2 linked regions of the Sus scrofa genome follow. The protein of the gene in region 1 binds, or shares a complex with, the protein of each later gene. Links are inferred from orthologs where the notes say so. Each region holds a gene or a part of one and is shown on either strand. Other genes may lie near its edges.

Evidence for each region.
Region 2: TONSL (region 1) and MMS22L share a complex: the UniProt entries of both Homo sapiens proteins name them as parts of the MMS22L-TONSL complex. The link is inferred for Sus scrofa from reciprocal best matches to the Homo sapiens genes TONSL and MMS22L.

The regions. Positions count from the first base shown.
Region 1 is NC_010446.5:348,573-353,056, reverse strand, and holds the start of TONSL (tonsoku-like protein), read right to left. Parts: upstream 3,066-4,484; 5' UTR 2,984-3,065; coding exon 2,959-2,983; intron 2,859-2,958; coding exon 2,763-2,858; intron 2,575-2,762; coding exon 2,432-2,574; intron 1,917-2,431; coding exon 1,733-1,916; intron 1,456-1,732; coding exon 1,326-1,455; intron 997-1,325; coding exon 825-996; intron 710-824; coding exon 595-709; intron 169-594; coding exon 23-168; intron 1-22. UniProt on the Homo sapiens protein: Component of the MMS22L-TONSL complex, a complex that promotes homologous recombination-mediated repair of double-strand breaks (DSBs) at stalled or collapsed replication forks.
Region 2 is NC_010443.5:64,327,422-64,331,225, forward strand, and holds part of MMS22L (protein MMS22-like), read right to left. Parts: intron 2,476-3,804; coding exon 2,306-2,475; intron 1-2,305. UniProt on the Homo sapiens protein: Component of the MMS22L-TONSL complex, a complex that promotes homologous recombination-mediated repair of double-strand breaks (DSBs) at stalled or collapsed replication forks.

The sequences.
Region 1 (4,484 bases):
CATCACAAGCCAGGGGGCGCACCTGCTTCTGGTAGGCCTCGGCGGCCTTGGGGAAGTCGCCTGCCTTGGAGAACAGGTCCCCCAGCTGCTCACAGATGCTCATGGCGCTTTGCGGGTCATGACCCTCACACTCCTCCAGCTGCTGCTGCAGCTGGACCACCGCCAGCACTGCCGGAAAGAGCCTCGTGCTGGGTGGCAGGGGGCCTGACCCAGCCCTGCCACCTGCAAGCCCCAGCCTGCGCTGGCATGTGGGTCGGCAAGGAGGCTGGACGGGGGGGCGGAGCTGCCTCGAGAGGTCACCACAAGGACTGGGAAGGCTGATTAAGGACCGCTTAGGGCAGAGAAGGACTGGCAGCATGGGGACCCCGCTGACTGCCCCCTACCAGGCCCTGAGGCCACACGGACTGCCCGCACTCCCACCTCATCGCCCCCACCCCGACACCCTGAGAAGCTCCTCCCAACGAGGTGGGGGGGCCCCATGTGGCTGTTGTCACCTCCCAAAAGACACACGCCCAGGCCTCCTCTGCTGAAGGAGGAGGGGAACTTCCTACCCCCTTTGAGGGGTTCAGCCCCCAGGGTCCCCTTTAGGCTCACCATACTTGAGGGTCCGGCAGACCACTGCCTTCTGCAAAGGCTTCTGGGAGCCAAGCCTATAGGCCTTCTTCAAGGCTCTCTTGGCAGCCAAAAAATCCCCAAGGTCTTGGAGGACCTGGGGGGGGGGAAGGGGAGGGAGGCTCGCAGGCTTCCGAAGGCCGGCCACCCACCCCCACCCCCCCCACCCCACCCCGGGAGCTGGGCCCGGAGCTGCCGGGAACCACTGGCACCTGCGAGATGAGCACGCAGCACTCGCTCTCCATGAAGCCCTGCTTCAGGAGGCGTGCGCACTCCCGGGCCCCCTCCAGGCAGCGCATGGCATCGGAGTGCTGCCCCTGACGCCAGTGGATGGCTCCCAGGTTGTAGCGGGCGCGAAAGAGGTCCTCGTAGAGGTGGTTCTGCCTGTGGGTGGGGACAGGCCCTCGTGCTGAGGCACTTGGCTTTGGGACAGCAGGGTGGGCACCGGAAGTGCCGATGTGCAACCTCTGATGCCATTTGGGATCCCAGCCCCCACGAAGCAGAGCCTGCTCTGGCCCCAGCCTGAGGCACAGACGTGCCAGGCTTCTATGCTAATAGGAAACTGCCAGGGGCAGAGGTGTGAGGTCAGCCCAGCCCCTTGCCCCTCGCTCCTCACCCCTCACAGCAGGGTCTGGGAGCAGCCTAGGGGGCAGCAGCTGCTTCCTCCAGGAACGGGGCGCTCGGCTCCCTCTAGGGGTCAAGTGAGGCCTTACTCAGCAAGAAAGATGCTCTTCTTCAAGTAGGCGCTGCACAGGGCGGCCTGCCGCAGGCTCTCGAAGGTGAGGCCCAGGTTGAGGTAGAGTCGGGTTCTCATCTCACTCAGCTCCCGCTTGGCCAGTGTCCCTGGAAGACATGCCTCCAGACACTCAGCACCTCGGCCCGCTGGGGCTCGCCAGCCTTAGGCCCTATCCAGCCTCTCGTAGGCACCAGGGGCTCTGCTGCAGTGTGGAGGGACAAAGAGCAGAGGCAGCCAGACCCCAGGCGGGGAGGAGCACAGGCCAGGCGTCCCCTCAGGGGGGTCCTGCCACACAGGGCAGGCAGGCGCTGGGGCTGAAGCCTCCTCTCCCCGCGGAGTTCGGGAGGTAGAAGGTGGGGAGAGCCAGGTCCCAAGGGCAGTCACCCTGAAGCTTCTCATCCACGATAGCCAAGCTTTTCTCGAAGGCCGCCTGCGCCTGCAGCAAGGCGTCCTCTGTCTGCTGGTGGTCATAGATGTCCAAGTGAGTGCGGCCAATGGTGGCCCAGGCCCTCTGTTGTTCAGTGTGGTTGGACAGGGAACGTGCCAGGTCCAGGTAGTGGTGCTGGTGCTGGGGCACAGAATGACCCCTGTGAGCCAAGCCCCACCTCAAGCAACCCACGCCTTCCCCAACTCCAGGGGGACGCCTAGAAGAGCTCTCCACTCCCCAAGCCCCCAGAGTATGCCACACACACCCGTTATCTCTTTGCCAAGGGCTGCCTGTGGGGACGGTAGCACCCCGCTCCAACCAGCCAGAGTCATCACCGGGGAGATGAGTGGGAGTTAGGGGGGCTGCTGCAGCCCCAGAAGCCAGGGACTAGGCAGCTCTGTGTAGAAAAAGTCAGGATTCCAACCAGCCCACAAACTCAGCTCCAGAAATATGTTCACGAGGGCTTTCTGCGGCCCGGCTGTGGTGTACCCATCCAAAGACCAGGCTGCCGTCGCCTGGCACAGGGTTCTCTGAAGGTGATGCCCAATGGTAGCGTGTCCCCCTCTCCCCAGGGGCCTGGACGGTGGAGGCTGTACTCCCTCCTCAGAAACGGACCCTCGGGCAACGCGGGCCCAGGAGACGCGGCCTCCACTCACCTGCAGGGCCTCGGTGAAGTTCTCCATCTCCGCCAGCCGCTCCCCAATCTTGCGGTGGGCCACCGCGCAGCCCAGGGGGTCGCCGGCGGTCTCCAGGAGCTGCAGCTCTTGCTGGTGCTCTCGCAAGGCTTCGGCGTATCGGCCTGGGCGGGCGGGGCACGTTCCAGTCTGGCCGGACAGGGGGCCACGGGCCGCGAGGGCCAGTGGGGCAGCGACCGGCCCTGGGCGGCACACTGAGCAGGCCCCCGCCCTGCCGCCTCCCCACCTCCGGCCCCTGGCCCCCCGGTCCTCCCGACGCCCCCCTCTCAGTCCCGGACTCCACCCCACGCACCATGGCTGGCCAGGAGCTCCCCTAGCTGGTGACAGAGATTAGCCTCCTCCCGCAGCTGCCCGCTCCTCTGCGCCTTAGCCTTGGCCTTGCTCAGCTCTGCAAAAAGAAGGACGAGGCCTGGATGCGGAGCCCCCCTGCCCGGGAGAGCCAGGCCCGCTCCCGGCCCCTGCGCTCGGGCGCTCGGCAGGGAACTCACGGCGAAGCTCGCGGTCTAGACTCATATTCCGGCAGCGGCGCCAGGGGCTCCAGACTTCCCGCGTTCTCGCGCCTTGGCGGCGGTCCCTCCCACTGGGGCGCCGCGCGCAGGCCCAGTCGGGCCTGCGGCCCGCGGAGCATCCTGGGAAGTGTAGTCCAGTCGTCCGAGGCATCCTGGGAGCTGTAGTCGTGCTGGCGCCTGGCCCGGAAGGGGGGCGCGGGGCGGGGCGAGATGGAGGGCGCCTCCCCAGATTCCTGGCACCGCCCCTCAGCCCGCAGCTGCCCTCGAGGTGGGAACTCCGGGGCTCCCACCCCTGCTGCCACTGTCCTGCCAGCCCGCAAACTTACCTGCCCGTGCGGCTTGATCTGCGGAGCGCACTGCCCTCGCGTGGGAGAAGAGGACGGAGTCTGGGACCGCAAGCACTTGAGTACTTGGCGTAATCAGAGGTGTCCCTGTCACAGAACCCGTGGAAGAGCCTCGAGCGCGCCACAGTCGTCACGTGTGGGGCTCCTACCTCCAGGGCCGGGGTCGGGGGTGGGGAGGGAAGGGGACTGTTTTCCAAAATGAACTGAGCAAAATGCTGCTTCCTCGATGTGCACGCCAGCCAGTTGTTTTCCTGGAAAACTCGGGAGTACAGCCTGCAAACCTGTTTTGTGCTGAGAGGGAAAAAGGAGCAGGAACGAAGCCCACAGCGCTCTAGCCGACTTCTCAGCGCAGGAGGACACGGGGGCCCCTGTGGTCGTGGGGCACCTGGCCTCAGAACTCGAATGCCTGTCCTGTCCTTTCCCCCACACCTTGAGAATCAAAGACCTGCCAGACCTTGGGGCTCTCAGTCCCTGGCCTGCCACGGGGCCCTGGGCACCCCGAAGGCCCCAGAGGAGGCCTGGAAGAAGTGGGCAATGGGCAGTTTTATTTTCTGTGGATATGGAAACAAACCCAGTGGGGTAAAACTCTCTGCCAGTGGAAGGGCAGCAAGGCCTGCTGTTGAGGGAGTAATAGGGAGGTTGGATGGGTGCCAGGTCCAGAGAAGGAGGAGCCACAGGAAGTGAGAAGTCGGCCACAGGTGGCCCTCCTCTGTGGCTCCTGAGTGATGTGGTCCTCTCTCACCCTGCCCCCAGGGGCCCAGAGGGCAGGACAGGAGGCCCTGAAACCAAGGTGGATGACTGGCAGGCAGGCTGGTGAGATGTGAAGGGCAACGGGGGAGACAGCGTGGGGAGGGGGCGCTGAGCCACAGAAACCCGGGCAGAGGGCGGAGGGCTCAGGGCTCCTTCCCACTCCGGCGCCAGCACTCAGAGTGGAGCAGCTTCTCCACGCCTCGGTTTCCCCACAGAGGGATCAGGGGTGCGTGTAGGAGGCAGAGCTGAGCGAGAGGCTGGGAGCCCGGCGGTGGGGGGCCCAGGCTGGGAGCCAGCAGGGGCAGCAGCGGACCCCTGGCTGGGAGGCGCGCCGAGCCCAGCCGGAAGCCCGTCCACGAAGCTGTCTTCTTATAAGAAGACAGAAACAAAAGCTTGGTTTGGAACTTTTTA
Region 2 (3,804 bases), on another chromosome or scaffold:
AACTATGCTCTAAAAGTTCATTTATAATTTGGTAAATTTGTGGTTTGCAATGTATTTTCCCAGAGAAATAATCAGAAATGATAGACATATTTTCACTTTAGCTGTAAATGGTATTTACCCAATAAGAAATTTTGAAAGTTTATTTCTAATTAAGAATAGCACAGAGTTGTTAAAACACAAGCACTTAAGGGAGTTCCTGTCATGCCTCAGTGGGTTAAGAACCTGACTAATATCCATGAGGATGTGGGTTCGATCCCTGCCCTTGCTCAGTGGGTTAAAGGGTTCGGTGTTGTCAGTGAGCTGTGGTGTAGGTCACAGACATGGCTTGGATCCAGCATTGCTGTGGCTGTGGTGTAGGCCAGCAGCTGCAGCTCCGATTTGTCCCCCAGCATGGGACCTTCCATATGCCGCAGGTGCGGCCCTAAAAAGAAGAAAAACAAAACAAAACTCTTAAACAACAATTGGGAAAAAAAAAAAGCCACCCCCCCACACGTTTCTTCAATGCTCTGTTTGAGAAAAAGCATGTTAAGTCAGAAGATAAAGTAATAAATGGATATTTTTTAAAAATTCTGAAGAGGAGAGTTTATACCCTTAAGAAATAAAAGAGTTCCAAACCAGTTCTGTCAAATGGATACTTCACTGGATTTTTCAACTAAGGAAGTTTATACGAATTCTTATTAAGTGGACTATTTTGGTTTCAGAGGGTCACACAGGGCGAGCACTCCACACTCGCCTGCTGCCCATAAGTCCCCTCCACCCATCTTCCCCTCTGTGGGACTGGTAGCCCAAGCTTTACCTTTCTGATAATGGACACACTAAACTTTGTTTTAAATGCTACTAACTTAGCGTTTAAAGAGCCAACTTAAAATTTATTGGAAATTGTGAAAATCTATTTTAAAAATCCATCTGTGTAAGAGACTGCTTATTACCTAATCAAAATCCATTCTCCTCTTCCTCCTCAATTTCCTTTGCTGGATACCAAGGTAAGAAGCCCATATCTTCAGTATCAGGTACTAACAAATAATGAAGTGTATCTCTAGCCCCATCCTTTCCCCTTCATGACAGATCAGTGTTTCCAAGTACCTACTGGACATCATTACCTAGATATTCCACAGCATCTCACATCGAAGCTGCTCAGAAATCAATTATTATTATTATTATTTTTTTTGTCTTTTTGCTATTTCTTTGGTCCGCTCCCGTGGCATATGGAGGTTCCCAGGCTAGGGGTCTAATCGGAGCTGTAGCCACTGGCCTACGCCAGAGCCACAGCAATGCAGGATCCGAGCCGCGTCTGCAACCTACACCACAGCTCACAGCAATGCTGGATCGTTAACCCACTGAGCAAGGGCAGGGACCGAACCCGCAACCTCATGGTTCCTAGTCGAATTGGTTAACCACTGCGCCACGACGGGAACTCCAGAAATCAATTCTTAATTTCATTCCTATGTCTCGAGAATTTTCCATTTTGGTTAGTAGAACTACTACTGACATAAACAGCCACCATGGAATCTAGGGAGTATTCTATTTCTTTCTGTTGTTCTACAATGGTCACTCAGCAAGACTTTGTGACTGGAGATCCTAAATGTTTCTGAAATCTGCTGTGTGCCTCTATAACCACTGCCTTAGTTCAAAACCCTCAAATAATGAACAACTTATTGCCTTCCAAGTCTCTAATCCATCTTCCACACCAACTTCAATGATGCCACCAGAATCACCTTTCTAAAATGTAAATATGACATGCGACCCCACTTCTCTGTGTCAAAGCCATCAACAGTCCCCATGTACAAGAATAAGTCCAATCTTCTGAGCACGGCACCCAAAGCCCTTCATTACACGCTTCCTCCTGATGCGTCTCCAGCTGGAAGAGAACATCATATTTTCTTGTAGCTCATGTCCTCCACATGCTGTTCCCTCTGACAGGACTCTCCTTCAACTCCTACCCACTCTGCTCTCTGACACCTAACATCCTTTACTACAGTATCTTCTCTTGCATCTCCTCATCCCAGAACGGCTAACAGACAGCTAAGGCCTCTAAGGAAAATACTGAGCACACTGCTGTGTCTATGCTTGCAACTTTAAGCTTCTTGAAGGTGGAGACTTTGCCTCTTCCACCTTTGTTTACAGAACTCAGCACAAAAGGGATTTTAAGCCTGTTCAAGGGAAGTGCAACATCACACATGTACATCAGGATTACAATGTACCACTTTGAAACCTGCAGTCAGTAAAGTGGTTTAAAGTCAAGTGACAAATTTTTCTTTCTCTCTTTCCTATTTTTTTAAACTTTAAGCAGCCACACTTACTGTACCTGGAGATACAAAGGAAGACTCTTCTGAATCGCAGTCAACATAGGTGCAGGTAGCTCCTTCTCTTGCTGTAACACTGTATGTGGCAGCAGTAAACAGTCTATGATCCGGAATAGTAATTTTTGGGCTTTAGAGGTGGCAAAAATTTGTGCCCATGATTTAACAAGAACTCCTAACAAAGAAGAGCAGACACAGAAAGTACAGTTATCTTCTAACCAGAAACTTCTATTATTCTTCTAAAAATTTTATATTTAAAACACATAGAACCAAGTAAAAGTTGGCAATAGGAAGAAACATATATTAAGAGTGAAAAGACTTATGCTAAGAATTTCACTAAAGAGACAACTCTCTCAGAGTTCTGGGCCAAAAAGAACATACACTGCCTGAGCAACTGGCATTTAATACAAATATACATAGTGTGTAGTTATACATTATGTGAATATATAAATTGAATATTGCAATTAAGCAGATATCCCTCGTTGCTCTGGCTGCTAGGAAACTCAGAGGCAAATTTACAGTCCAACTTTAAGAACACCATAAGATCATACATTATGCTCCTAAATATACATTTACTTTTCCATAGGCTTCATCATGTTACTATTCCATATTTTCTTGATACCCTTATTTCTTTATATTTTTATCTTGCATTTAACTTACAGACTGGCACAACCCAGTTTGCAACAAGAGGTATAACTAAATTTAATTGCTATAGTACGTAAAAAGATTAGCTATAACATCTTGAAACAGTCACTTAACCTCCTTGAAACTAAGTTTTTATAACTTTCAGTTATTTAACATGAACGGTGAATTTAAATTGTGATTTTAAAAGAAGAGGAACAGATCTCTTTACTACATGAAATATATTATGATTTCCTTAATGATGGGGGTCTGTAAATTTCCTTAATGATGGGAGACTACATTTAATGATAGTCAACAAATGAGCACCCTTTGTTCAATAAAGTAATTAAGAGAAGATATATTCTTCTTTTTAGAGTCTATTACTGCTACTGAAATCTTCACTGAAAAAAAATGAATTTAAAAGATCACTAAGCATTTGTCCAAGTAGTAGTGGTGCATGTGCTGCATAAACTTTTATATTTTATTCAATCTTAGAATAGCAAAAAAGATGATAAAATTCAAAGTCATTTCCATAAAACAAAAAGTTTAAAATTCAAGCTCTGAAGGAAAACACAATATGCTTCTAGAAGAATATATAGATGTTAAAAAAAACAACCAATAATCACTTCTAAGAACAACAAACAGCAACATTAATCTTCTGTTATAAAAGGAAATACAATAATCAATCATAAAGAAACACAATGCTCACTTAGCAATATTTTAAATAATGCTGGCTTGCTTCTCATTTTTCTAGTAGGTGAAAAACTTGAGAATGACAGCAGTGTAAGAAGAACTCACATTCTAAGCAACATTAATATACCAGTAAGAGGAACTGCCATCACCACCAACATTTGAAATGATTCATATCACTCTTAAGTGTCAC